Linked DNA regions of Lonchura striata. The protein of the gene in region 1 interacts with the protein of each later gene in a pairwise test. Links are inferred from orthologs where the notes say so. Each region holds a gene or a part of one and is shown in the gene's direction. Other genes may lie near its edges. The genes, in order: ATXN1, OTX2 and CIRBP.

What was found.
Region 2: the proteins of ATXN1 (region 1) and OTX2 interact in binary tests that used the Homo sapiens proteins (3 or more experiments, as listed by UniProt). The link is inferred for Lonchura striata from reciprocal best matches to the Homo sapiens genes ATXN1 and OTX2.
Region 3: the proteins of ATXN1 (region 1) and CIRBP interact in binary tests that used the Homo sapiens proteins (3 or more experiments, as listed by UniProt). The link is inferred for Lonchura striata from reciprocal best matches to the Homo sapiens genes ATXN1 and CIRBP.

The regions. Positions count from the first base shown.
Region 1 is NC_134603.1:90,441,272-90,451,062, reverse strand, and holds the start of ATXN1 (ataxin-1), read left to right. Parts: upstream 1-3,360; 5' UTR 3,361-3,456; exon of another isoform or gene 3,457-3,697; intron 3,698-9,791. Other genes in the region: RBM24 (RNA-binding protein 24), read right to left, coding at 1,225-1,279, 2,376-2,499, 3,034-3,201. UniProt on the Homo sapiens protein: Chromatin-binding factor that repress Notch signaling in the absence of Notch intracellular domain by acting as a CBF1 corepressor. Binds to the HEY promoter and might assist, along with NCOR2, RBPJ-mediated repression. Binds RNA in vitro.
Region 2 is NC_134608.1:4,122,623-4,132,413, reverse strand, and holds OTX2 (homeobox protein OTX2), read left to right. Parts: upstream 1-5,304; 5' UTR 5,305-5,347; coding exon 5,348-5,444; intron 5,445-5,793; coding exon 5,794-5,966; intron 5,967-7,204; coding exon 7,205-7,825; 3' UTR 7,826-9,152; downstream 9,153-9,791. UniProt on the Homo sapiens protein: Transcription factor probably involved in the development of the brain and the sense organs. Can bind to the bicoid/BCD target sequence (BTS): 5'-TCTAATCCC-3'.
Region 3 is NC_134630.1:6,365,177-6,374,967, reverse strand, and holds CIRBP (cold-inducible RNA-binding protein), read left to right. Parts: upstream 1-4,157; 5' UTR 4,158-4,300; exon of another isoform or gene 4,301-4,306; intron 4,307-4,953; 5' UTR 4,954-4,959; coding exon 4,960-5,062; intron 5,063-5,157; coding exon 5,158-5,264; intron 5,265-5,695; coding exon 5,696-5,834; intron 5,835-5,925; coding exon 5,926-6,010; intron 6,011-6,115; coding exon 6,116-6,209; 3' UTR 6,210-6,535; coding exon of another isoform or gene 6,536-6,552; 3' UTR 6,553-7,310; downstream 7,311-9,791. UniProt on the Homo sapiens protein: Cold-inducible mRNA binding protein that plays a protective role in the genotoxic stress response by stabilizing transcripts of genes involved in cell survival. Acts as a translational activator.

The DNA.
Region 1 (9,791 bases):
TGTTTCCTTCCATTCTGACAAATTAAATTACTGAGAAGCTGTTGTCGTTTCATAACAGGTAAGTATGATATTCTAAAGCCAGTCTAACCAAATAAACTACATTTGCAACACATTTTCCCTACTATATTGTTAGCTTATGCATTTATTAGCAGAATGCACTATTTTGCAATGAGTTTCTCAGTCACTGTGCATTAGTGAAGTGACACTATGGAAAGCTTAAAGCAGACTTCACCTCCTAATGATATGCCTATAAGAAGCAAGAGTTAGATCCACTTAGGAATAGTTTATACTCAAATTCAGGAGAAATGCACTACATATTAATGACAGATTGAAGAAAAAATCCCCTCAAATTAGAAAGCCCAAATGGACGCACATCGTTAATAAGGAGATCCACACCCTTCCCAAGAACAAACCTCCCAAAAATTATGAACATGCAAGCAATATGTTGATTTACTTAAAAATCAAGAAATCACACAAGATAGCACTCACTACAAAATATGGTTAAAAAAGTCACAGGCTACAGCTTGAAAGCAAGGAAAAAAAAGGCCCTTTGCTCCCCATGGCAAAGTCACTCCTCAACAACAAAACCAAAATTAAAAAAGATCCCCCCCAAAAAACTTTCACTACAGCTCTTTCAATTAAATAAAAGCACACAGTTTAGCTATCAACACCACTTCATTACTGTAATAAAAAAAAAGCACACGGAGGTCTATTGACTATATGAAAAAAACATACATGCATCGTTAATCACCATTTTAGCTTGTTTGTGTTTGAGTCTACTGGTTACAGAGTTTAATTCCAAACAGAACTATTCCACCTCTTATCATCATATCCTTCTGATCAGTTATCTTAACTGTAAACGATCCCTGTCAGATTAGAAAGAGATAAATAACATTGAGTCAAGCTGAAAAAAGAGAAATGGGGCACAGCAATCTTGCATCAAATTATTCCTCCTTGTTTTATCATAGGGTCATGTGGGACTGGACTGCTTAGGCGGAAGGGCCACGTCCCACACAACTTGACTCAGCTGCGGCATTTAGAACATGACCGACAAGGTGAGCACATTTATGAGTATACATTTATAAATCTGAGAGCTTCAGCATTGCTGGCCAGCTTTAAGGATGCTACTGTAAGAGGCCTTCAACGATCATACTTTTCTTTCCTTTTTTTTTTTGAAAAAAAAGATTTATTTCCTCCCCTCTTTGAGATCCCATTGAGACTTACCCGAAAGGCCTCTGTATGAGAGCTGGATGAAGCTGCTGGACACCAAAGGCAAAACCTACCAACAAAAACACATCATATTCTCTGTATGGTTGTTTTTTCGGCCACTTCTTTATGTTATATATATATACACACACACAAAAAAAATGCGGAGTAAGAGCCTTTACTAACAGCCTGCAGTAACAATAGCTGAAACGCTGTAGAACCAAAAATTAGAAAGCAAAATACATACACACACACACACAGAACTTAAACCAGTAAAGCACACGCTTTCCTAGAGATGTTTAGGAAAACGACGTTTTCTAAACAAGTACAGGGTTTTCATTCACATTTTACCTGGTGCTCCATTTGGATCCCTAACTTTAGCATCTGAATGACTGGATGGTACTTTCCATTCATCAGTCTATTTGTGCAATTTCTACAGACTTAAAATTTAAGTCACCCCTACTCATCAGGACTTAGCATAGGGGGTCAAATCCCAACTTCATTTCTGCTCTCCAGACACCCTAGCAGAAACCCTGTCTTCTACTGGCAGGCAATTAATTACTCGCACAAGTGTTCATCAGGCTAAACATGAGGGAATTCAGAACGACCTCCTTTAGAGCATAAATGTGCACACACTCCATGCTCCTCTTACTTTTGCTTCAAGTGTCCCAGCAGTCTGGGAAGTGGCTAGGAAATCAGATTGTCTCAGAAGTGGTCTTAGGAAAAGCCATTTCATTTTAAAATCTGTATAATTGCTCCCATATGTTTGAGAAGTTTGTATTAAGATATTTAATGTTTGTGTTAATAAGACCGCACACATTGGAAGCGAGTCACTCCTAGGCCAATCTTACCCTGCAACGATACTGTAAATGGTCAGCGCCACCACATTCCCAGCAGCAGGAATAACCAATGAAGTGTTTGAGCTGTGGAAGTCTTCCTGGGGAACTCCAGATATTTTATCTCTGATTGCTTTTGTTTTTTAAATAAGGCACATGTGCAAAATAGCCAGAAAATTACTACATGCTGCATTTAAAAAATCAAAACCAAAGCACGCCCAACTGTGTGCGTACTTCAGGAAGGTGGAGGGCAGCACTACCTTTTTTTGAAGTTTTACTCTCTTCAGAAACCTGAGGTATGGAGAGAAAAGCCATTCGGAGCTGCTTCCTCACCTGGCTGCATTATCCGCGGCTTGGCACCCAGGTACGCCAGGTTCACGTTGGCTTTCCTGCCATCGATGATGGGGTTGGGGTCCTTACAAGCCCTTTCGGCAGCAGCTCTGTCAGCCGTGGTGACCTTAACGGGCGATGCCGCGCATTAGATCCCTTTCCGCGGGGAAGGAGAAGCCTCCCGCCCATAGCAGCGACCCGGCCCTACCCGCGGGCGGCGCCGAGGGGCCGCCGGCCGGACCCCGGCCCGGGGCCCGCCCGCCGAGCGGAGCGCAGCGCAGCGCCGGGAGCCGCGCCGGGCGCAGGGCGGAGGGCGCGGGCCGAGCTCGGCCGCCGGCAGATAAACCCCGCAGCGGCCGTATCAGCGAGCAACAGGCGCGCCGGCGGTGTGCGAGGAATTAGGCAAGTCCCCCCCTCAATCTCCTTGTTCAGTAATCCCCCCCACCCCGCCTCTATCCAAACTCCCCAGCAGGGAGAGAGAAAAATAAAAAGGAAAAAAAAAATTAAAAAAAAAAAAAAAAAAAAGAAGAGAGAAAAGCAAAAAACCGGACGCTCGGCAGCCCCTCCCGGCCCACGAGCTCTCACAGCGGCCCCCGCGGAAGTTTCCCCGCGATGCCCTCCCGCAGCCGCCCACCGCCCTGCCCCGCGCCCCGGCACTTACAAAGCCGTATCCCCGGGACTTGCCCGTCTGCCGGTCGGTGATGACCACCGCCTCCTCGATGTCCCCGAAGACCTCGAAGTACTTGCGCAGGCTGGAGTCGGTGGTGTGGTAGGGCAAGCCCCCGACGAAGATCTTGGTGTAAGTGGTGTCCTTCTGCGTCGTGTGCATCTTCAGCCCGGCCCTGCGCGCCGCGATCTGCACCCACGCGTGGCCACCGGGGTGTGCGGGTCCTGGGCGGCGAGACCCACTTCCAGACTCAGCCCCGCTCTTTTTTTCCTTTTTGTTTTTTTTTCTCTCTCCTCTCTTCCCCCGCCCCCCGTTTTCCCCCCGCCACCCAGCTACAATGCAATTCCCTTCTGCCTTTGCAGACCCAGCTTCTTCCTCCTTCAAGAGCGGAGCCTCGCAGCCTCGGGCGGTTTTGAGGTAGGTACCGGCAAAAAGAGGAGGGGAGGCCGGGCAGCAGCCAGCCTGGCGGCTGTAGTGCTGGAAACGAGCAGAAACAGCAGCTGGAAGAGGAGTGCAGGGCCTGGGCTCTAACGACTGAGTGGCCTCCCCCCTAAAAGCCACCGGGTCGGTCACTCTCGGTTCCTCCTCCTCCTCCTCGCAGGGGGCGGGGACGGCGGCGGGGCGGACCCCGCGCTCGGCCGCGGCGCGGCCGGGGCTGACACACAGCTGTTGGCAACAGCTGGGTGCCCCCCGTGCGGCGGCAGCCGGGCCTCGGCGCGGCCGGCGAAGGGGCGGCCTCTGAGGTGCCCCTCGGGGGACGCCCGGTGCCCTTCGAGGCAGGTTTGCTGCAAACAGCAAGTGCCGGGTGATGGGGTCCGGTGGGGTCAGCGGTGCCCGGCCGTCCAGAGAGCCCGCGGGCACAGCCGGTTCACTGGCTGCTGGCGGTCCTCAAATGCTTCGATCCCTCCCCGAAGGCTTGTCGTCAAACCTCTTCACTTACTGCTCTCTCCAGGCTAGCAAAACTATGGTGCTGCAACACATCCATTTTTATTGTGGTGGTGCTGGTGGTTGTGGTTCTTGATGTTCTTTGGTCACAAGATGAAAAAAAAAAATGGTAAAGCTGTTTCCCTTGTTCTTCCTCTTCTCTTGCTGCCTCTGCCCAATGTTGGGACTGGGAAGGATGAACAGAAACATAAATAAAGGAATGTCTGTGTGACATGAAGAGACATAGGACTGTGGGAGTTGGGGGGAAGGGAGACTCACAGAGAGACCGGAAGGATGGGAAGAAGGTTAAAACCGGGGAAAACAGATGTGCATATGTGTACAGACTTCTAAACCATTCTCTTGCAGTCCCAAAGTCTTGATAAGTACTGTGTGTCTCTTTTTCCTCTTTCACCACCTTCTAGGTGGTGAAGAAAGCCTAGTCTGCTAGGCTTTTCCTTATGAAGACACTCTCACTTAGAAAAAAGAGCAGTGCATCACTTGCAGGATGGACTTTCACAAAGTTCTTCTGCCCTTCTGGTACCAAACATTGACCATAATGAGAGTACTTAGCCCTAAACTCAGGCCCTGTTTGCCCATGTCTAACCTTAGTTCCATTTGATTTTTGCATCAGTAGTTTTCCTAGTTCTAATGGCCTATACCTATACCAGTCCTAAGCCATGCTGTCACTAAACTTTACTTGACGCTTCAGACTCTCCAGATTAAATTTGGTTTAACATGTTAAGACTAACTCAAGTGAAATCTAGCAGAACCACAGGATGAGACATAAATGTTACTTTTCAAGTGAAATTATGACAAGCCCTTAACATTCACCTGAATTCGATTAGGTCAGTTAGCTCTGTCTCCAAAAGTCTACCAGCTTGACTCTCCTGTTGGTCTGGAATATTATGTTAAACCTGACACTCCGAGGGCTAATTGTAACTTTAAACTCTAGCCCAGTGACCTGAACTTAAATAGTAGCTCAGCTAAGGGTGTCAGTGCTCAATGGAGCCCTGCAGCACACAGCCCACTTAGTAGTGTATTTAACATCTCAGACCCCTGTGGACCTGGAAGATGAACTTCTAAAAGTTCATCTGAATCCAAATGTAGTCCACCCCATCGTGTTTCCTTTCTCTTGCTGTGCCCAGCACTCCTGAGTGTTTTGCGGTGTCTGCAGAAAGGGTGAGCTAGCCTGGCTTTCCAGTCATTACACAAACTCCTTTATTAGGGCCAGAAAAGCAACATTTGTCTGTCCCAGAAATACTTGCAGATGTATTTAGAAGTACACTTTTTTCAGCCCAAGTGGAAGACTGGTGACATTGACAGACCCAAACTCAAAACCTGGCTTTTTGGTCTAGCAACAGCAGGTCTTCCAGGTAGCAGCAACAGCAGGTCTTCCAGGATTTAGAAAAAAATCCTGTTGTGTTTTTTTTGTTTTTTTTTTTTTTTTTTCTGGAAAAAACCCTAACTTTTCACACCTATGTCTCAACAAAAGACAAACTTCTTGTATTTAGGTAGGGTTCATCATGCAGCCTGTGTTTGTGCTGCAATACTGTTTTCAACCTTCTCTGAAAGGCTAACACATCCTCTTCTGTAAAACCAGAAGTGAAGCTGGCCATTAACAGATCAAAATATATCCTGTAAGCCATGCTACTACAGTCCTACTACTGTATTAGCATCCTCAATTTAAGATGACCATCCTAGTAAAATTTAGGAATAAATACAGTTCTTTTGTCCATTCATTCCTATAACTGAACTGTACCACTAACACCATCACAGGAGAACAATCCCTTCTATTGAAGGATAATTTCTCAAAACTTAGTTTTACCTTACATCCCTTCTAGCATCAGACCTTTTTCTGTTTTGGTGGTCCTGATAGAATCTAGGATATGATTCTCCAGCTTTAGAATTCCTAGGAATTCTTACCTAAATCCCAGAGAAGTGATACCTCATCATTTGCAACTTCCTCTAGCCCATTCACTGTCAACACAAGCCTTTATTTTTGCGTGGCATAACCTGTGAAAAACAAACACAGGCTTCCAGCTCCTGGATGCATGATCTTATGACCTAACTGTGGCTGATACAATTCTACTAGCACCAGGCTATCTACTCCCTCAGCAGGTCTCAGAAAGAAAAATATTTTCCATACATATCTCAGTCTTAATCATCACTTTAGGGTTACCCAAAGAGAAGGGTGACCTCTGTCATATGGAAATTAACTGAAGACCATTTGAACACTTTAATGATCAGGAATATATTGTATGCTTCTCTCCTATACCATATATTAACTCCAGATTTTGGGCTAGTCTTAATCCAAAGGAGGTTACCATGTACAGCCTAGGGAGGGAGTTCTTTCTGATTTACTTGTTGTGAAAACATTCGGGACTGATTGGGGCTTGTGTCTTTGTGCTAGGGCTAGGTTTCTGCAAAGTTTGAAGAGTGAGGCTTATCTGCAGAACCTATAGGTACCACAGAAAACTGATGAATCTGGATGAATTCAGATGAGGATTATCCTGGAGTTAGACTGAGTTGATAGGATAGTGTTTATGTGGCCATGCTGGATGTCTGGCTAAATTTGCAGTCAGACTAATGGATTTTAAGATTTAAAGGAATGGACTGTATAGCATTTATTGTGCTGAAGGGAAGTCTGTGGACAACTTCACCAGTGTAATTTTCCCAATTGCTTGAGATAATATGTATTTTGGTGTATTTTGGCGTATTTTGGTGTTTTGAGATGAATCAGCTGATACTTATTGCTAGGGATCTGGTTGTGGCTTCAGAATGCAAGTGTCGCAGAAAGAAATGTATTCCTATATGCTGCAAATTTTGAAGGAATTATGCCACTGGTGAAGTGTGGCAATTTGGGCAAGAAGTGAGAACATGTGGAAGAGGACTGTCTAGGCAGAGCATTTCTGGGAAAGATGTGAAACTGAGGTTCCTAAACTCATGGAAATTTGGAAATTTAACCAGGGTTACCCATGTTTTGGTAAGTACCACAAACAGTAGATCACTGTAAAAGGGCAGGATTGTTCCTGTAGGCAGCTATTTTGGCCTTTTCAGGATCTCTGTTTTAAATCAAAGCAGAACATAGGCACCCAGGTCCTGCTGCAGTCTTTTATATCGCTGCGAATCTCTCCTAGGTATGGAGGTATTGATGCTGAAGGGTATTGTAGCTGCCAATTACCTTCTATGTAATTTTAATGGTTTAAATATATATATCTGAAGCTATAAATGAGAAAGTAATCTAGGGTTTTATTTGGAACCTAGTAACATGGCTTAATGGGAGGGAACCCCAAAAGCTATCAGGCACAATTAATTGGTCTTAATCAGAGATTTTGTGATTTTGCTGTCGAGGTAGGATAGAATAGACAGCTTTCCAGTTTACCAAATGTTGCCACTCAGTGGTATCAGCGTAACTGTAATGTCATGCCTTTTATTTATTTATGAACACCATATGCCTGTCATGTCGGAAACCAATGGATGTTGTGTGTTCATTCATTAGGTTTCTGGAAGCAACAAAGACCCGTGATTATATTGCACACCAGTCATTCTTGCTAGTGCTTTATTTCAGTAGATAATGTGGTCTTCAGAACACTCACTGCACCATCAATTAAATGCAGCTGGAATTTCTCTATACATATACATCATATACATATACATATACATATACATATACATATACATATACGTATACGTATACATATACATATACGTATACGTATACGTATACATATACATATACATATACTTAGAATGCCTGGGGCCTAAACCACCATGATTTATTATGCAGGGCTGAAAATGAAAGCAATAATTTCTCTGTTAACCTAGTAAGACCATCAGTTTGGTCAGTGAGACATTTCTGCTGAAGTTCCATAATGCCATAGCTCCATGAAAGCATTTGGCTAATAACATTAGGCACAGTCTGCTAATCTATGCACTTCCACCAACCACGTCCCATTACAGAGAAGAGTAGAATGTCTAACCTCTGCTCTGCTCAGTGTGTGCTACACAGGTGATAGTTTGTCTAGGGAAGCATAAAATAGGTAGTACACTCATGTTCCAACAGATCACAGTGCGAGAAACTTGGAAGCCTCATCATCATCTCACTCTTCTAGCTGATCTGCAATCTTTGTCTAGGATAAGTTCTTGAATTGTGAATTTCTGCTAAAAGTTTCCTAACTGAGGAAGCTTCCACCACCTCTCTCCTGATAGTGTCCCCATTATAACAGATTTCCTCATAGGATTCTTTTTTCCCCTGAACTATATTGCCGTATTCCAAAGTCCCTTTTATTACAGTATCTGAGCTCTAAGCCACATGAACTTCAACGATGGAAATGTCCTTATTCCCAATTAAATCACCAAATGTCAACCACCAGGTGTAGTTTCTGATGGGAATATTTTTCCCTTTAAAGGGCAGTGGAAGAGGTGACACAGAATTTCAGTGATCCAGCAAACAAAATTCGAAGCTTGTGGAACTGTAGATTAAAGACATGTGCCTATCTGTAGGAAAATAATAGACATGTTAGGGGAAGCAGGGGTGAATGATGAGTGGAGCCAGAGGTTGAATGCATCCATAAAAGTTTCAATGCATGTCATGTTGGTAGGGGAACGTGAGGAAAAAGTATGTTAGGAAAAAAAAAAAAACAAGGAAAAAGCTTTATGAATACCAAGTCATGGGTGCTATACTGAACAGTGCTGGTCAGTGCTAGGATAGGTCAGAAAGTAGAATGAGGCTGGTGCCTGATGTGAACTGAAGTTGTCCTATGATGCTGTAATGGAGGGAGCACGGATGCCAGAGGCTGAACCTGAAAAATCACAAAGCTCTCACACTCATCATGTGACACACTCAGGGTTAGAACAATGATTCTTAATATTGACAACAAGCAAGGCAGTTGTATCAGGGAAGCAATAAATTGGGATTTGCAGACTAGCTAAAACTTAGAAATTGGAATGTGAAACACCTGAGTCTCATGCTTACCTGTCCTGATCACAGGCAACTAAGAGACAGACACTTAACAAATCCGCAAAATCTCATTGGTGTTCTGTATGGTGTGATAGCTGAATGACTGCCTGCTAAGCACACTCCTGTGCATCTTTAAAATGGTGTACCCACCCCACCATAGTGCCCAAAGGGAAAACCAGTGCTTGGACCTGTCTGCTGAGCCATATACACGTAGCCTGGACTGATAAAACATGTAACTCATTTCTTGCTTGTATTTTGTATGCAAAATAAGAAATCTGGTACAAAGACTACTGTTGAGAAAAAAGTTTTCAATCAGTCTAAACTGGTGGAGCACTGCTAAAAGCAGGGAAATGAAAAAGAAATGAATCCAAATTTCATCAGGTTGCATCTGACCTACAGTCAAATAAACAGGAAAAAAAAAGAAACAAATATGGGGATGCTGGTGAAAGACAGCCACTAAACCCTCGCCAGTTGTTATTACAAGGGATTAAACTGGCAGTTGACAAGCTGTATGCCAGACATCCATCTCATAGAACACTGCACATATCTTAGTAGAAGTAGGTTAGTAGACATGAAATGTGGATACATGGATAGAAATGCAGAGAAGAGTTTATTCAAACATGCTTCAGCCCCTTAGTCCTTAGTGAGAAACTGAAGACATGAATGCCGTAGTACCACAACTCTGGATTCAGGAATAGCCATGTCAGTGGCCTCGTGCACTCTCAGCTCTCCAGAGGAGTGACTTGCTCTTTCCTGTCAGAGAGCTGGAAGGTTCTAATTTATGACCAGAACATACCACATCCTCATTTGTCAAGTTCAACTCAACTATTTTTTTTTTTTTTTTTTTTTAAGGACGTAGTTCTTCTTG
Region 2 (9,791 bases), on another chromosome or scaffold:
CCTCCCTCCTTCCCTTCTGCCGCCTCCTTCCTCCTCCTTTCTGGGAGTAAAGGATTTAAAAAAAAAAAAAAATCAACCCAAAACCAAGCCACACCACCCATCCTCCCAGCCCAGCCCCGAGCATCCCAAACCTGCTCCTGCAAACCTCCAGCCCGGGCTGCGCCGCCGCCGCTAAAGTCCAAGGACAACCACGTTGGATCGCACTCAGCCGGGCTCGGAGAAAGCCACAAAGAAGCCAATTAATTGCTATAACTTCATTAACATAGGTCACCCCGTGAAAATGATGGAGCCGCTGCAGTTTTTTTCCCCCCATTGTCACAAAGTGAGGAAAGTCTGTGAGCGCTCCCTCCCTCCGACCTCAGCCGCCTCCATCCTCCTGCCTTTTGCCAGGGCTTTATTTTCGGGGTGCTGTGAGCCGCGAGAAGTTGAGCGAGGACGGGAGGTGCCAGGGGAACATCCCGGTGCCCGGCTCCGGTGTGCCAGGCCGGGAACCCCCTGGGCCCTCCTCACCCTCAGCCCGTCACTGCTCCCAAATTATTCCCATTAAAAACATGCGCGCGTCCCTCTTTGCAATTTCAACGCGACGCCGATAAGTTCCATTCCGCACCCTCGTTCCTTATAGATCTTTAAAAATACAATTTAAAACGCGTTTATGTCGTCCCCCAGGTGACTCCATTTCCCCTCTTCCAGGGGTGACTTGGCCCCTGGGAGGTGGAATTGGGGTGTGGTCGATTTGTGGGTGCCACTGGGGGGACCCGGGGCTGGGGGCACCCCGCTCTGTGCTGGGGGGGATTCTCCCCTTGGCTCCCGCGGGTTTTCCTCTCACCCATCTCCTGCTGCTCAGCCCAGGGCTCCCGGCAGGCTTCGTGTCCCCCCTTCACAAATATTTACTTCTATACATTAATATCTTTTGTTGTTGTTGTTATTATTATTACAGCCACCCCCCAGCCTTCTGCTGCCCCCCCTTTCCTCGCCTTCCCCGGGCAGTTCGCTAATTCCATCTCTGCTGTCCATCACATTAATTTCTACAATGACTTCATCCGCTCCGCTCCATAATGTATATTTTTAAACCGAGCAGGTTCTTTTAATGTATATTCTGGTGTCATTTCGGCGGCTGTTATTTCTCTCTGGATTGTCCCCCCGGTACAGCAGCGGCCTGTTTTTTCCTCCCCCTGTGTGTGTTTTTATTATTTTCCCCCTGGCTTAGATGTGTCAATCACTCTCTCCCTGCCATTGGTTGGAGAGTTTGCGTCAAAAAGTTGCCAGAGAGGCGCTTTCTCAGCAAAGCTCCCCGAGAGAGGTAGAGACCTTCAGCTCCAACGCACCCTGCCACTATTATTAAAAATAAAACCACTTTGACCAGCTCCAGCACCGGCCAGCTCTGTATGTACCGAGCCCAGACCCCGAGCATCCCCGCATCCCTCTCCTGCACCGTCCCCTCCCCTTTTTCCCCATTTATTCTCCTTTTTCAAACATTTTTTTCTCCACCCCCCCCTCCCCCCCCCCTTTCCCCCCGATGTCGTGGGCATGTGCATGCGGCGAGCTCTCTAACCTCCCGCTTTGTGCTTTCTCTCCCAGCTCAGCCCGAGCTCTGAATTTGGCGAGGATCCGGGAGCAGCTTTCCCCCTTCGCCCCCCAGCCCTGCCCGCGGCTCCGGCGAGCCTCGCAGGTAAGTCCGACCCGCTGGCTCCATCCTTCCTCGGGGGCACGGCTGGGCGGCCAGGAACGCGGGGAGAATTCAAATGATCGAATTTTTTTTTTTTATTTGTTTGTTTGTTTAAATGATGATTATTTTCAAGCAGCCTGTGCGCGGTGGGGCTGCGCTGTGCGGGGATCCCGCAGGAGCTGCCCGGGAGAGGCCGGGCCGGGCCGGGCGGAGGCGGCCCCGGCTCGGGGACAGCACCGGCTCGGTGCTCGGCAGGGACCGGGAGCTGCAGGATGAGAGGGAAAAAGGCAAAATTGGGAAGCGTGGGGCGCTGCCCATCGCCGCCCTCGCCCCCCGAGCCTCGTCCCCCGCGGCCGGGCGCGGAGCCGCTCGCTCTCCGCGGGCAGGCGCGGGGCTTCATCGCCTTTTCGTTGGGTACATGATTTTTTTTCCGGCCTGTTCCTTTGGCCTGTAGATATTTCCTGACCTCAAGCTTGAGTTTTAAAATTATGGAGAAAAAAATAAAACCAAAATAAAACCAAAAAACCAACCAACCAAAAAACCAACGGGGAGGAATTGAATTTCTCCCCTCTTCCGACTCCTACCTGAGAACCCTTTCATCCTCCTCCTCTTCCTCGCGATGCGGAGACTCAGCAAAGTAATTTTGCAAAGGTGTTTTTGAGCACTCACGGCCCGGGAGAACCGGGCTGGAAAGCGCAGGGAGAGAAATCTTCAAAGCATTTAGGGCCGGAGCTTCAGGATTTGGGGCGGGCGAAAGGGGTGGCAGGAATGGCATCCAGGTCGGAGAGGGGCTGGAACTGGTATCCACCTCCTTTATTTTATTTTAATTTTATTTTTTTATGCCTTGGGAAAGCGCTTCCTAAAGACACCGACCGCGAGTAGCGCGGCCCGGCCTCTCTATATTCGCACCGCGCTGACAAAGAAAAACTCGGGAAAAGTCCTTGTGCAGCGGCACAAGTTTCTTTAGAACTAAAACCCTCCTTGGCTGCTGAGTTTTATTTCGATTTCGGCTGCTTAGAGAAGTTGAGGCTTATTATTTATTTATTTTGAAAAGGCGCAACTCTAGTTAAAAAAATATATATATAATAATAGAAAGAAGTGGGGGAAAAAAGCACTTTAAAAATGCGGCCGGGTGCTGCTGGGCGGCAGGGACGGGCCTGGGGCGGACGTGGCTGCCCGCCGAGCCCGGCCCTGCCGCTCCCGGGGCCGGGGAGGAGCCGCGGCCGCGGAGCAGCGCGGAGCTGCGGAGGGAGAAGCGCTGGGGGACCGCCCGGCAGAGCGGGTGACGGGTCCATCCCCACCGCCTTTGCAATTTGTGGTAAAATTCGCTTGTCGGGAAATATCCCTTCAAACAGTCCCTTCAGTGCGGGAAAAAAAAAAAAAAAAAAAAAAGAAAAAGAAAAAAAAAGGTTTGATTTAAAAAAAAATTAAATAAATTTGGATTCGTTGAATTCGTTGGAGCGCGGCGAGGGCAGGGAACGCGGCTGTCGTTCGCAAAACAAAAGGAAACAAATTCCCTTCTCTACCTTGGCACCTTTCCCCCCGCCCTCCGCGGGAGCCCCTCCGCGCTGCTCCGCGGCCCGGCCGAGCCCCCCCGGCCCCCGCAGCGCGGCCGGGGCCGGGGGCGCAGCCTGCGCGGCCGGGCGCGGATCGCTGCCCCGCATTAATCACCGGGGCGAGCAGCGGAGCCGGGGCCGGTGCCTCGTAATTAGGGAGCGTGTGCCGCCCGGATTATCTCGTTAGTTTATCAAGAAAACATTTATTATAATTAATTCTCGGACGGGGTAATTATTATTGAGCGAGGGCAGAGCAACTGGTAGCCGGGATGTGCGCGGAGCGGGGGGAGCGGGAGGCGGGGGAAGGTGACAGATTGCGGAGTGGAGCCGTTGCTCCGCGGGCTGCGCGGCGGCCCCGGGATGCGCGGCCGCGGCCGAGGGGCTCCGCGGGCGGCCGCGCCGGGCTGGCGCCTCGGTGGGATGCCGCCGAATTTAACCGAACGGCTTGCTTTTTTTGGAGAGGAGGTGTTTGTGTGTGTTTTTTTTTGTTTTGGTTTTTTTTTTTTAGTATTTTTTTCTTTTTTTTTCTTTTTAAAATATTTTTGTCCGCTCGTTTTGAAGCGGGCAGCAAGCCCCGCTTTGCTCTCCCGCGCGTCTTGCGCGGAGAACAGAGCGTGGCTCCCCCCTCGGCAGAACCGTCCCCGTTCGGCTTCCCCCGGGGGGTGATGCTAAAAGCGGGGCCCGACCCTGCGCCCCCCGCGCTGGATGCGCGCTCCCTCCGCCGCTCAGCCCGGCAAATCCCTTCCCCGAGGGGAGAAGCGGAAAGTCCGCGCCGCGGAGAACTCGCACCGCCGGGGGTGCACGGGGCTGGAGCCCCCCGGCAGCGCTGGGCCCTCCCGGGGAGTCGGCTGGGCTGGAACGCGGAGTTTTGGGCTCTTTCGGGAAGAAAGTTCTGCTGGAGTTCGTTTTCCCGACGGCTGCTGGGATGGAGGGAAGGGCGAGCTTTCATTCAAAAAGATTTTAAAAAAAATATTTTCTGTGGGGAAAAAACGGCCTAAACCTTTTTAACCTTTTTATGAGTCTCTGTTTGGCCCGTTGCCGTCCTTTTTTTTTTTTTTTTTTTTTTTCTCCTTTTTTTTCCCTTTTTTTTTTTTTTTTGTTTTGGCGGACCCCATATTTGGGTCCCCCCTCGTTCCCCGGCGCAGAGATGCCGGTCCCGTCGGGGCAGCGAGAGGGGACCGGGGCAGCCCGAGCGGTGACCGGGAGAGCCGCTGGCTCGCCGGGGCTGTCCCGGGGCCGCTCACCGCCGGGCTGTTTGTTTAGCTTCAGCTCCGTCATCAAGAGTTTCTTGAAAGCCTAATAAATCTGTTACTTGCCTCCAAATCTAATTACCCGGAGTACTAATTAGGTGCAAATGGCCGGTGGAAATTACTGCAGACGTGGACTGATGGCGGGAGAGCAGAAAAGTTTGGCTCTTCCCGAGCGGGCATTTGAGCTCTGAAATGCAGCAACGTCGGGGGGAAGGGGAAAAGGGGGAGAAGGGGGGAAAGGTTTGAATGTTGCCCAAACCTGGGATAATTAAAGTCCTTGCAAGAGACTAGTGGAGAGATAGGTTTCTTGAATTGTTTCTTTGTTTCTCACCCTTGGGCTTTGTTATCTGCATTATTTATTTAGCCGAGGGGTTCTTTGTGTCTGCCAATGGCCCCAATCAAGTTTTGCTTGAGACAATTAGCCGGTGCCCGGCCGGGAATCCTATGCAAATGCCCCCGGCCGCCGTACAATGCGGGCAGTTGAAGGCATGGGGGGGTTTTGTTCGGGCAGTAATTACTGGCTGGGATGTGCCCCCCCTTCCCTCCCCTCCTCGCCCTTTTTGGGGAGAGATGCGTTTATCTAGTCAGTCTCTCCCAGCTCCCAAATCTGGTTGGGGTCCGAGAGGGAGGATTGACGAGGGTGGAGGGGGGGGGAAAGGCAGCCGGGATAAAAGCGGGGGGGGCGGGGGGCAGCGATCTGGCCTGACTCCCCCCTTCATCCCCGCATTGCTCCCTCCTCTTCCTCCTGCGCAGGCACCTGGCGGCCCCCCCACGCCCGACGGCTCCCCCAGGCACCGCCCGGGGCAGGCAGGGCGCTCGGCCGGCTCCCCCTCGCCCGGATTTCGGCCAACTCTCCTCCCCGCCACAACTTTAGCATGATGTCTTATCTTAAGCAACCACCTTATGCAGTCAATGGCCTGAGTCTCACAACCTCGGGCATGGATTTGCTGCATCCGTCCGTCGGTTATCCCGGTAAGCCACGTTTTTCTTCCCTCTTCCCTCCCTCTATTTTGCTGCGCGGGGGAGAAACCGCTGGGATTTTGGAGGCACAACATGCCCAGGGATCACGGCTGGCTTGGGCGGGTGAACGCGTGGGGTCCCTTCTTCCTGACCCCCAAGTTTTTCTGGGGGAGAGGGGCTGCAAACAGGGCAGACCCCGGCGCTGGGGATGCTCCGAACGCACGGAGTTGGGACGGCCGCGCTGTGGCGGCTGATCCTGGGGGTGCGGGACCCCCGGGAGAGGGGAGAGAATGTGGGTGCCCCTCTAGGGAGGGGGCTGGAGGGGACAGCGGGGTCTAAGGGGCCGCTGACTGACAGCCAGGGCCTCTGGCTCCGTTCGCAGCCACCCCGCGGAAGCAGCGGCGGGAGCGCACCACCTTCACCCGGGCGCAGCTGGATGTGCTGGAGGCTCTTTTCGCCAAGACCCGCTACCCCGACATCTTCATGCGGGAGGAGGTGGCCCTGAAAATCAACCTGCCCGAGTCCCGAGTGCAGGTAGGATGCGGAGATCCCTACCTGCCCTCCCCCTCCGTACCGCGGGAAGGGCTTGGGCTGGCCTGTGCCTGACTGGGAGGGACACGGCTTTAGGGGATGGATCCAGTCCTGAAGCCAAATCAAGCCCTTGTGGGGTGAAGGAGGCTCAGAGACGGGTGGGGGTTCAGTGAGGGGATGTGGTGGCATTTTGCATCCCCAGGGCTGGCTGTGCCCCCCCTTCCTCCCTCTGCACTGAGGGGGTGTTATGCAGATCCTGGATCCCAGCTCTTGGACCTTCCACACCCATCCCCAGCACGCCCAAATCCCAGTCTGTCCTGCAGAAGCCACAGAGGATGCCCACTTCCCCGGGGATCACCACATCCCTGGAGCTGGGCCAGACTGGGATCCCAGACCAAACCAGTACAGACTGGGAGCTTCCTCCCCCTCTGAGGGGACTTTGATGAGAGAGGGGCTGCCTTGGTGGAGAGAGCCCCTCTCCCGGGGCTGGGCTGTGTCTGCTCTGCAGGGAGCCCATGCAGGCAGCATTTTGGAGATGCTGCTGGCAAGGCAGGAGGGTCCTGCTCCCTCTGGGACCTAGAACACCCCAGCAGCAGGGGGACAGGGCATCTCCAAAGCCATCCCTTCCACTTGCTCCCTGACGAGGCTTCCCGAGGCTGTGTGGTGCTCCCGTGGAGCGTGGTGGCCGGGATCAGGATACCCCCATGCCAAACCCCATCCTCCTTCCCACAAAACCTCCCCAGAGCCAGCCAGCCCCCTTGGGCCCTGCTAAGGGAAGGTGAGATGGGCTGAGGGGCCAACTCTGGCCGAGGGGGTGAGAGCAGAGAGCCTGTTTGGAGGATAAATGAGACATCTTTACCCCTCTCCCCACCCTGAACCTCTGCTTCCCTAATTGTTCCCTGCTTTTCTGATGTTCTATTGTTTCTAATTAAGGGCTCGACTTCAATAGGCCTTACGCAGTGATTCCTGGGGGTCCCCGGCTGGCAAACAGCAAAGAGAGAATGCTTCCCCTTCTCCCGAAAAGTGACCTTATTAAGGAGTTTGATTTGTGATTTCCACTCGTTATTGCTGCTAATTATCTCAGGGAGGGGAAGCCCCGGAGCTTCCCTTCGCAGCAGCCTGCAACCCTCTGCTCTTGGGGGACAGTTTAGGGTTTCCCTCCCCGGCGAGGTCTGCCTGCCACCATCTCATCCCTAACCCCAGGCTTTTTCTCTCTCCCTCCCTTGTGTCTCTGCCTCAAGGTGTGGTTTAAAAACCGCCGAGCCAAGTGCCGGCAGCAGCAGCAGCAGCAGCAGAACGGGGGCCAGAACAAGGTCCGGCCGGCTAAAAAGAAGAATTCGCCCGCCCGGGAAGTGAGCTCGGAGAGCGGGACCAGCGGGCAGTTCACTCCCCCCTCCAGCACCTCAGTCCCCACCATTTCCAGCAGCAGTGCCCCCGTGTCCATCTGGAGCCCAGCGTCCATCTCCCCGCTCTCAGACCCCCTGTCCACCTCTTCCTCCTGCATGCAGAGATCCTATCCCATGACCTACACCCAGGCATCAGGCTACAGCCAAGGATACGCTGGATCGACCTCCTATTTCGGAGGGATGGACTGTGGATCTTACTTGACCCCTATGCACCACCAGCTCCCCGGGCCGGGGGCCACCCTGAGTCCCATGGGTGCCAACGCGGTCACCAGCCACCTCAACCAGTCTCCAGCCTCCCTCTCCACCCAGGGCTATGGAGCCTCCAGTTTGGGCTTTAACTCCACCGCCGATTGCTTGGATTATAAAGACCAAACGGCCTCCTGGAAGTTAAACTTCAATGCTGACTGCTTGGATTATAAGGACCAGACATCGTCATGGAAGTTCCAGGTTTTGTGAAGAACCTTTGTGATACCGAGAGAAATCGCGACGAGAACGAACAGGCTGGGCTGAGCGCTCCAGTTTTAGTCAGGTCTTGGTTAAGTTAAAGAGAAAAATAACTCCACGGACAAACAAATGAACAAAACAAAAAAAAAAAAATAAACAAACTTGACAGCAACAAGAGGGGGACAGTGTTGGTGTGATCCCGTTCAGACTCATCTCCTGCTCAGACGCTCTGGAAAAGGAATAATAAAGAGGAAAAACGGAGGAGGAAGGCCTTAAATGGACAGATCATCTAGTGAGCAGAAACCAGACAGACCCATCTGTGTTCTTTCTAGTTTTAGCCAATTGTTGGGTTTCTTTGTTTGGAAGAGGTGGGAGATCTTCCCACCTGCGGGCCAGTTTAAAAAAAAAAAAAAAAAGTCTAGGTTTTTATTTCTTTTTTTGTGTGTGCGTGGAAAGATGATCCTTCACCCAGAGGTTTCCAATGTGTTAGCCAACCCTCGGTTAAAATATTCAGAATGGACAACATCTCTCTTTTTCTCCCTCTTTTTGTCCCTCCCTCTTTCTTTTCTCTCTCTCGAGCTCATCCAACTGTTTCATGCCCAACTTGCTGAAGTTGGCACCCGGAGAACTTGGTTCAGGGCTGTGTGGGTTGTGTGACTGATTGTCCTAGCTGCACTACTTTATTTAAAGATTAAGAAAAAAAAAAAAGATAATGTTCATAAGGAGTCAATATGTAGTTTTTAAGAGACAATCAGTGTGTGTCTTATATAAATGGTACATCTGTGGTTTTTAATCTGTGCTAGACTTCAAAACTGTGATCTCCTGTATTGTATGCAACTATGAACTCTGCACCAGCAGGAGTTCTGCTGTGATTTAAATAGGTTATAATTATAAGTGAAATTCAGAGCAACTGAGTTACCTATTATCATCTTTAAAAAAAAATAATTAAAAATATATATTTAAAAAATAATAAAAAAGAAAAAAAAAAAAGAAAAACGCAAAAAACACGATCGCCTTTCACCCGAGGTGAACTGCACTGAAACTTTTTACAACAAACTGTCTCTGAATGAAAGAGGAAAGACCGAAAATACCCCACCCGAGGACATTTAACTCCTCTGGAGCTCACTTACTGCTGGCCACGCCGGCAGTAACCGTCAAATCCGACAGGACTTTGGGCAGTTGCTCTGACCTGGATGAATTTAAACCAAGAAATTCATTGTCGTTTATGCTTGCAGATGTTAACTGAAAAAAAAAAGAAAAAAAAAAGATATATATGCATAAACCTTTTTTTCCTGGATTTGGCAGATATGTATAATTATATTAAAATGGTTCTAGCACACTTGATGTTTGTCTTCCATTTCAATCACAGCCGGCGAGGGACGGAGAAGGGGCACGGGAGACCAGGAGGGTCTGGCTGCTTCTGCAGGGTTGAGACAAAAGGGGTTCTGCTGGCATCTCCCCGAGGTGTAGGAAGCAAAAATCGAGGAGGGGCGTTATTTTATTTTTGAAATCTTTAATTAAAAAAAACTTCCATTACAAGCAGAGCTTGGCTAAGGTGACCTTTCCCACCCCAGCTTCGCCAAATCTCTTGGTGGGGAGGGAGGGACGTGGCTGCCCGGCGGCTTCTTCCCAGGGGATGGAGTCCCCAGTTGTGTCTTTGGGGAGAACTTTCCAGGCAGAAAGAAAGGAGAACCTGGATCAGGCAGAGGTGCTGGGGAAGGAGAGGGATGGTGTTTGAGCTACAATCTCACCAGCTGAAGCCCCAGGATGCAGGATCAGGCCTTTCCCACGCATTCCCTCTTCTTGGTGGCTCTTTCTCTGTCCCTCTCCCTCTTTCTCCCTCTCTCCTTCCCGTGTGCAGTGCTGGAGCTGCTGGAGCCCTGCACTCGGGTTGGATTTAGCACAGTGAAATAATGGATCTCTGGAAAGGGAGTGATCTGGGAAAAAAAACCCAGCACCATGTCACTTGCTGTCCCCC
Region 3 (9,791 bases), on another chromosome or scaffold:
CTGAGCTGGGACACTGATGGGTGCTGTGCTGGGACACTGATGGGTGCTGTGCTGGGACACCGATGGGTGCTGTGCTGGGACACTGATGGGTGCTGTGCTGGGACACCGAGGGGTCCTGTGCTGGGGACACTGATGGGTGCTGTGCTGGGACACTGATGGGTGCTGTGCTGGGACACTGAGGGGTGCTGTGCTGGGGACACCGATGGGTGCTGTGCTGGGACACCGATGGGTGCTGTGCTGGGACACTGATGGGTGCTGTGCTGGGACACTGATGGGTGCTGAGCTGGGACACTGATGGGTGCTGTGCTGGGACACTGATGGGTGCTGACCTGGGGACACTGATGGGTGCTGTGCTGGGACACCGAGGGGTCCTGTGCTGGGACACTGATGGGTGCTGAGCTGGGGACACTGATGGGTGCTGTGCTGGGACACCGAGGGGTGCTGTGCTGAGGACATTGATGGGTGCTGTGCTGGGACACTGATGGGTGCTGTGCTGGGACACCGAGGGGTCCTGTGCTGGGGTCCCTGAGGCCTGGGAAGACTCTGTGCTTCCCCTGTGGCATCTCCCTGCTCCTGGTATAAGATGATCTTGCAGGGAAAACCAGGAAGGAACCAGAGGCTTGGTGTTGGCTGGGGTGGAGGCGCAGGGATGAGATCTTCATTCCGGCCTCACATTCCCTCCTTTCCTGCAATCCCAGCAGAAACAAAGGCAGAGGAGGCGGCTCCTGCGCCCTGCAGGATGTGCTGGGGCGTGCGGAGCTCCCCCACCGCTGTGCCTGGAGCAGGGAGGATGGTCCCGGGGGCTTTGCCGAGGCTCAGGAGCAGGAGGAACGCTGTGCCAGAACCCGGAGCGGGCGGGGGAAGGGGGCTGCCTGGAGGGCTTTGTTCCCTCCCAGCCCCGGGTAAAGCACAGCAGCACCAGAGGATGAGATGTGGCACCACTGCCCCGTCCTCCCCTTTCCACCGCTCCTGTTCCCAGCCCTGGCCCGCGGCGGCAGCACCGGAGGAGCTGCTCCGGGATTTGGGAACCTCATCAGAGCAGCGCCCGGGGCGGGGGCTGCCCTTGGCTCCCCAAAAGGTGCCAGGGCTGCCAAGCAGGTTTGGGCTCAGCTGCTGCACGGCTCTGGGCAACTCCAGGGACTGGGAAAGAGCCCTACAAACAGCCCAGCAAGGTGGGGACCCCCAGAGAAAGCCCGCGGTGCTGTGGATGGAGCGTGGGATGTGAGAGAGGCTCATGCTGATGTGGGAATGGCACGGGGTGAAGGTGGGAGGGCAGCACAGCTCCTCCTGTCACGGTTCCCCCGTGGCATTTCCGTGTGGTGCTATCCCTGCTGTGCTGCTGGACAGGCAGAACTTCTAGGAAATCAGATTTGCATTAACAGGATGTTCGGTCCTACAACCTCTGCCCTCGGAAGGTTTAAAAAATAGGTGATAAAAACATCAGTCGTGTGTGGGGGGATTGCTTGAATCAGCTCCAGGTGATCCCTGAGGTCCCTCCAGCCTCTGGTGATTCACAATTTCCCGTGGCTGCACCTGTACACACAAACAGCTCTGCTTCAGAGCGGATATTTGCACTTCCTAAGGAAGTGCTGGCACTTTTGTCAAATGGGGTCACTACGGCCACAGCCCTTCTCACAGCCAGATCCAGGTGACCAAAATTAGGGCTCAGCCAGGGAAAACAGCCATGGGTGCTCAGGTCTGGAACTCACACAGGAGTGAACTCTGCATCTCCTACGTGGTGTTGCCTGCTTGGGGCCCCTGGGCAGGGCCCTTCTGCTGCAGGAGGTTTGCTCTAAGGATGTGAATCCCGGGCTGTTTCAGTGCTTAATTAACTGCCCCAATGGCTGGTGCAATCTGCCGGGTGAGCTGCCTGCCTGGCTGCTCCCAGCGCTGCTCCCAGCCAGAGCCCAGCCTGTGGGACGTGCAGTGATGTCCCTGGTGACGTGGGGCAGCTGCGGCCCCTGTGTGCAGCCTGATCATGGAATATCCAGGAGGATTGTCAAATCCACAGCTGATGCCATGTCTGATGCCATGTCTGATGCCCCGAGTCAGGGCACTGGAGCACTGAACCCTCCCTGCAGCAGCAGCACTGGGGCCAGAGCACACCGTGTCTATTTGGCCCAGCTCTCTCCTTGTGTCACTGGTGACTCTCACTGTCAAAGCAAAGGCATCAACACGCCCCAGGGAGACAGAAATCAAACTTTTGGGACACAACCAAGCAGGGCTGTGCTCGCCATTCCCTGTCACAGGAGCTCCTCTGCTGCCAGCAGCCCTTGATCCTGCTGGGACTCAAATTCCCCCAAAGCAGCAAAGGTTCTCACTGCTATTTTCACAACACCCGACCTGCCTGGTTTTGTGTGGAGTCAAATCCCAGTGAATCCCGGTGTTTGTCCCTCAAGGTTTGCAGCGGGGTTAGTGTTGGCTGTCCAGCATCTCAGGCTGGAAAATGGCTCTCTGCATCAAGGTCACTTTATCCACCCTCATCACAGACCAGAAATGCTCACGTTAATGGGTCTCTAATTTAATCAAAATGCTGTGCCTGTGATTGCAGGGCTGGGATCTTTTCCTCTCTTGAAGGGCAAAAATCAATTTGCAGTAACAGCAGATGCGTCTGCTCCCTTCTCCAGGCCTAGGAAAGTGAGTACATTTTTTCATCGTATGAAAATAATAATATTGGCCAGGTGTGTCATCAATATTGGGATCTTTTATGTGCTTTTGAACACTTTGGTGGCAGCATTCTGTCCCTGTGGCCCCGTGAGCTCAAAAAATCCACAGCTGCTGTGGTGCCCCTGGGTTTTGTAATTGCTGTATTACCTATGTGCAAACTGCCCTTTTCCTGCAGATCCCAAAGGGATCCCAACAAATCAGAGAGGAAAAGCCTAATTTCCATGTTCTGGGACGCAGGGAATGGGTGATCGGTGCTCGACAGAGCAATCACAGGCAGGTTTTTTTGCATTTCCCTGTGGTTTGGAAATCGGTCACCAAGTAGTTGTGATTTTTGTACTCCAGTGATTTTCTTCTGTGCGGCCTGGCTCTGACTGGAAATACTGGGAGGGAAGGGAAGGGAAGGGAAGGGAAGGGGAAAAGGGAAGGAGCGGCAAACTGCGGCTGCAAACTGCACCATGAATTACAAGGAGTTTGTGGAAGCAGAAAAAACGTGTCTGGCGGTACCTGGGAGAGGGGACACACACACAGTGACCCTGCTGTGTCCAGTGCTGTCCTTGGGCGCGGGGCACACACGGGGACAGCACAGCCCCGTCCTCGCCGCGTTTCCTTCCCGTTTCCTCACGCTGCTCTTCCCTCCCCTGCATCTCCCCCTCTCCATTTCTTCACGTGCGTCTCTTCCTCTCCAATGTTTCCTAACACTTTTCTACGTGAGATTGTAATGTATGGCACACCGAACGTTTTTATTTTGAGGACTTTCAAAGCTGTGTCGCCTCTCGGTAAGACACGTCTTTGGCTTTGCCAATTTTCTCTTTCAATACAAAGTTTTTCCTGCTGAAGGCATTCTCACTTTTCTCAGACCTCAGGATGGGCTTTTAAAGTTTTCAATTTTTGGGGAAACAGGTTGAGAGCAAAGTTTTGTGTTTTTTTTGTTTGTTTTTTTTTTTAAGAAAACTTTGTTGCTTTGACTACTTCTATCATCTAGGGCAACACTGCAAAGAGGGAGCTGAAGGGATCATTCCCCCACGGGACAGAGAGGAAGGCGGACGGTTCTGGGGCACAAAACGGGCTCCCTCAGCGGGGCGGTGACCGACGGGGCGGCGGCGGGAGGAGCCGCCGGAGCCCGGCCGGGGGCAGCGCCGGGCGCCCAAGATGGCGGCGGCCCCTGAGGCGGCCCCTTTGTCTGCGGCCGCCGCCGCAGTGCGAGAGGGCGCGAAACTGGGCCAGCCTGGCCACGCCCCCTCCGCCAGCCTGGCCCGCCCTCCCGGCCAATCAGCGCCCTCCACTTCCTCCCCTCTCACAGGGGCGCTCCCGCCCGCCTCCGCGCGCGCAGCCAATGGGCGCCGCCTGCCGCGCCCCCGCCCCCCCGCATGGGTGGAAGGGGCGGGGCCACGGCGTGGTTTTGTTTGCTTCGCCCCCGTCGCGGTTCATTAATATTAATGAAATCCCGCCCAATCAGGTGGTGAAGCGGCGGCGGCGCTTTGGTGACGCGAAGCCCCTCCTTGCAGCGGGGTTCATCTGCATATTCATAAGATAGGCGGGATGAGGCGCGGGCGTTTATAAGGCGCCGCCCCGCCAGGCTCGCCGTACATTTCGCTGAAGCTTTGAAGTGTTGTGGGAACCTCGCGCCGCCCGGGTATCGGTGAGCGCAGTCGCGCGGGGCGTCCGCGACCGCACCGGGCGGGGTGGTCCGCGGTGAGCGGAGCCGTGTCCTAGGGGCAGAGCTCGGGGTCCCGCAGGAGGCTGGGCCGCAGCTCCCGACCCGCCGATCGGTGCCTTCTGCGGGCACAGGGGGCGCGGCAGAGCGGGCCGGTGTGGGCCGCGAGGGGGAAGGGGCCGCGGCGGGGGGAAAGGCGTGCGCGGAAACAAAATGGCGACGGGCCTCGGCCGTGCAAAATGGCGGGCGGGAGGGAGGGGGCGGCGGGCGCCGCTGCGCCGGGGAGGCCGGTAGGGGGCGCGGCGCGGCGCGCATGCGCGCTGGGCACGGAGGGGCCGGCCGCGGGGGTCCCACCGGGGCTCGGCGGGACCCGACCCGGCCGCCGGTTCCGCCGGGGCCCGGCCCCGGTGATGCTCCTGCCGCTGGGCCCTCGCTCCCGCCCGCCCTGAGGGAGACCCGTTCTGAGGCTGGGAGACCACATAAGGTGTGGCCTCAGGGGCGCATAAGTGGTCCGGGAGTTTGAGGTTACATCGGTGGCGTTATAGGTAGTGTTAGAAGGATTTAATGTTTGTGGCCTGGCGGGGATTATGTGGGTTTTTTGAGTTGCTGACTCGGTTCTGTTGGTTTGGCAGGTCAGAATGGCATCAGATGAGGGAAAGCTCTTTGTCGGCGGGCTGAGTTTCGACACCAATGAGCAGTCATTGGAGCAAGTCTTCTCTAAATACGGACAGATTTCTGAAGGTGAGACTGCAGAGCCACAATGACATAGTTTCCCTTAGTCTGTTAAATTTCCCTGGTGCTGATGGGTTTTTGTTTCCTCTATGTCCTTTTCATAGTCGTGGTGGTGAAAGACAGAGAGACTCAGAGATCCAGAGGTTTTGGATTTGTTACTTTTGAAAATATCGATGATGCGAAAGATGCAATGATGGCCATGAATGGAAAGGTGAGGAGGTTTCGGAGTTGATTCTTCATTTCCCATAATGGAGGAGACTCAGAGGTGTGCTGTTGTTCAGGCTGTGTGGAAAACCAGATAAATGCCAGTGTCTTAAATGAGCTGATATGGATGTAAAAAATCTGGCTATATAGATTAATACATAGAACCTATATGTATATATATACATACTACGAATACAAATTGATAAAGTTCCATTATGGAACCTGGATGACTGAGATACGACTTTATAGGTATTCCCGTAAATGCAATTAATATATCAGGTTTTTTGCCTACTTGGTTTAATTGTGGCATGAAATAGATGGTTATTTCTTGAGCAGCGAGTCCTGGCACTGCTCAGCCAACTGTGAAGGCATGTGACTCCTTCTACATGTGCTTGCTATTTAAATGTTTCAGTTTGGCTAACTGTGGTTGTGTTTTAGTCTGTAGATGGGCGTCAGATCCGAGTCGACCAGGCTGGGAAATCATCTGAGAACAGATCCCGTGGCTACAGAGGGGGGTCCTCGGGGGGCCGGGGCTTCTTCCGCGGGGGCCGAGGCCGGGGCCGTGGCTTCTCCAGAGGTGAGTGCATGGGGGTCAGTCATAATGTCTGGATGGGGGAATGTGTCTTGTCAGAATGGTTAAAAAAACCGCGTTTCCATGTATTTCCAAGGAGGTGGAGACAGAGGCTATGGCGGCAGCAGATTCGACTCCAGAAGTGGAGGCTATAACGGCTCCAGAGACTACTATAACAGCAGGTAAGGGCTCTGCCAGCACCAGGGCTCGTGGGCAAGCTGTGGTGGAATTCAACCCAGCAGAGAAGGAGTTGAGCAGCTGTAAATGAGGTGCTGTTTGTCCCGCAGGAGTCAAGGTGGCTATGGAGACAGGAACTCAGGAGGGTCCTACAGAGACAGCTACGACAGTTACGGTAAGTCCTGCTTCGAGCGGGAGCGCTGAGTCCGTGTGCTGTAGGAGCTCTGAACCTGCTGAGCCTGAGCCTGGAGCTGGGGCAGGCTCAGGCTGTGGACGTGGTGGTGCCGGGAGATTCTAATTTAATGCATGTGCAGGAGTTGCTCGGATCTAAGGCAAAGCAAGTGTTTAAAAAAAAAAAAAAAATAAGGTGTTCCTGGAGCCCAAACTCGGCTGCCCTAACGCACTGACCCGCGGGTGGGGGATCTCAGTAGCCAAGTAGCCGTAGCCTCGGAATATTGCAAAGGGAGTAAAATGCTGGAACTTGTCTTTGCTTCAGTGCCTTTACAATTGTGCCTGCTTCTTGTCCTCAGCTACACACAACGAGTAAAAATCCTTCCTGACTCAAGATCGTCCTTCCAATGGCTGTATTTATAAAGATTTTTGGAGCTTCGCTGAAATGGTTATTGTGTAGTACATCTACTTGTATTTTCACTTTTGTAGTATTATCAGTTCTGATCTTGTCATACACAGCCTGGCAGCTTCTGAAACGAGACTGTCTGATTAGACTGTCTCAGAGAAAGCTCTGCTTTCAAGTGGTTTTAATCTTCTTTGAAAGCACTTCAGATTTTATTTTATTCTCCATGAATGAGCCAAGGTGTTCGTTTTTGGTTGTTTTTTTTTTTTTCTAAGTTGGGGCCCCAATTCAGTTTCTTTTGAGCTAGCAAGGATCTTGTACCAATGTTCACTGGAAGCTGAACAAGCTGTGGACTTTTTATTCTCTTTTTTTTTTTTTTTTTTTTTTAAGTGCATTACCCTTGTCTTTTGTAACATTCCTTTAGTGTAGCAAGGTAGGAATGCAGCTTGGGTTCCGTTGGAAGGCAAACCACCTTGATATATCTAAAGAGAAACGTGCTTGTATGTTCCACTCGCATAACGGTATTTTTACTGTTGTAATGATGTAAATGACCCAGAACTAGACTTGCAAACTTACCATAAAGAGGTTCTTGAAAATGTTTATTTATATTGTCCTTTTTTACTGGAAGAAATATGCATATTCCATTGCTGTTGTATTTGAAGTGGTAAAGGATTCCTGTATACAGTTTTCTTTGGCTTTACGAAGCCTATTAAAGGACCGTCTGAAATGAACTCTGCTCCTGACATTTACATTTCATTGCACAACACAACCCTTGGAGATGAAGAACAGTCACGGGAGCGAGAGGAGGAGATTAGGGACAGTGGCAGAGCTGGCCGGACGATTGCCCGGGCGCTGGAATTTAAATCCTAAAATCGGTCTTGACATCTGAATTGGCCAAGAAATTTCACATAAAGTAGTCAAAACTTGTCTGTAGAGGCTGGAAGTACAAACCTGAGGGTGTGCTAGGAGCGAAGTGAAGTTGGAATGTTAGGAAGGATAATGGATGTTTGCTCCAAAGCTGCTGTAGCCTACACTGGGAAGCTGTAGAGAAGAGCCAAGTGCTGTAGTCCCTGGGCTGTTCCCTGCGTGCCGAGCGCGTGTGTGATGTAGGGGAATGCCGGGCTTAGCTTAGCTGTGTCATTGCTTACAAGTTCTAAGAATTCTTTGCTAGCAAATGGAAACTGCAGTGTCCTTGGAGAAAAGAAGTGTTGTGCCTCCAACAGAAACCTCTGAGACGAGAGCTGCTCTCTTGGCTAGTTCATATGTGGAAATAGTCCTGTAATTCGAGGTAACTCCTTTTGCTCATGTCCGCATCCTTCCTCTTGTTGAGAGCTCATTTGAAAGTCTAATGTACCTGTGAAATATTCCTTTTGACAATTTTGGTCAGCTACTGGAAAAACGTTTAACCCATGCCGTATGCAACCTTTGGCTTGTGGCACACCTTGAGTTCCACAGATCAGAGTTGGGCATGCAGCCGTGTCTTGCTGTAGGTACGGAAGCAAGATTGGAACGAACTCCCTGACTCGATATGTGTTCATCTATTGAGACTCTTCTAGACTTCATTAAGTTGCTCACTTTAATTGTAGCTTTCTTTGCCATCCTACTTGTTGCCATTAACTTTTTCCCATGGCCCACACTTCCTAAGCAGCCATGTCCAAGTGTTAACTCTCTGCTTAGGGGATCCAATCCATGGGCTGGCTGAGCACGGGCAGCAGCCGGCCCGGAACAGTTTTCCCAGACTGTGCTTTGTGGTGTGATGGGTTCAGCGATGGCTTGTGAGACCCTCGTGCGCTGTGAGCTGTGTGGGGAGGTTGGGGGCGAGAGCAGCCTCTGCCCTGGGCCTTTGTTAATGCCTCTCTGCTTTAGCAGGCTGAAGGGACCCGGCACACACCTCGGAGGCCCAGCGGATCCTGAGCGACCAGAGCTGCGTTCCAGGGATGCTGCAGCAAGTTTGCCAGCCAGGTAATGTCCCTTTCATGGTTTTTTTGTTTTTCTTTGTTTTTCCTTTGGCTGTGTCCCTGTTCTGTAGCCCTGAGCTCTTAAGTGGTGCAGTAACCCCGTTCCTTTCCTGTATCTTTATCCACCTTCCAATTCTCTTGTCTCCATTTCGTTTCAGCACTGAGACATGTCAGAGAAGGCAGAAGGACAGACACTGGAGTGGAGACATGAAGAGCACAGAGCAGTGGTGTTGATCATTTTTACATGAACCAAATCAATCAAGACAGAATAAAACACTGAAATGTGGAAAAAACCAAATTTCTGTGGTACTTTTTGTGGGAAACAGAATGTTTTTGGCAAAAGTATTTGGTGCACAGCCCAGTTCAGAGCACAGAGCAAAACCATCACTCTGGTGCTCGGAGGTGGACACACTGCTCCAAGCAGATTGATGTGTGATCCTCGTGGAAAATGAGGTCTTGTTGCAGGTAAAATCCCAAAAATGTGGCAGCTTGGTAATGAGGATTAATAAAATGTTGGGAGAGGCTGACAAGCTGAATGTGTTTCTGGCAGGAGATTGCAGGGTGAGAGCAGTGAGTTTTTGATGATCTCAGCTGCTCCTGCCCTTCTGTTTCGTGTTAGAGAAGAGTTGATTGCTTCATCCTGCCCTATTCTCCCCATTTTTTGAAACGGATAAACTCAAAATTTGGTGATGGGCTCATTCAGGAGCCCTGAGAACTTGCTGCCCAATCCCACTGATAAGAGTCTCCAGACACTCCTGCCTGCAGGAGGGGATTATTGAGCTCACTTCACAAAACCTACTTTTCCTCCTTTAACCTTTTTCAAATTATCTAAGAAAGCAGCATTTAAAAAAAGCAATCAGCCATGACACACTTCTGGGGGTTGTATTGAGCAATTCACCAGTGAGGATTTTTGCATGTTAATGCAGGAGGATATGAAATACAATGAATTGTGAGGAGTGTGTGAAGTCTTTGCTGATAAAAATGCAGTCAGGTGAGGCTTAAATTAATTCAGGCTGAAAATACTTACAAATAATGCTTTGTAAGACCTTCCTAAATAGGATGCTTCGATGCAGGCAGAAATAATGAACGGGTGCAAAAATAGCCTGGTTGAAGGTGCTGTTATTTTTGGCACTGCTAATTATGGCATTGCGTTAATGATGTATTGCTGGGATGGGTGAGGGAATCGCTGGAGCAAGGGGCTGGATGTGGAACCCAGTGCGTCACCAGGAAGGTGTTTGGGTGCTGTGGGTCTGA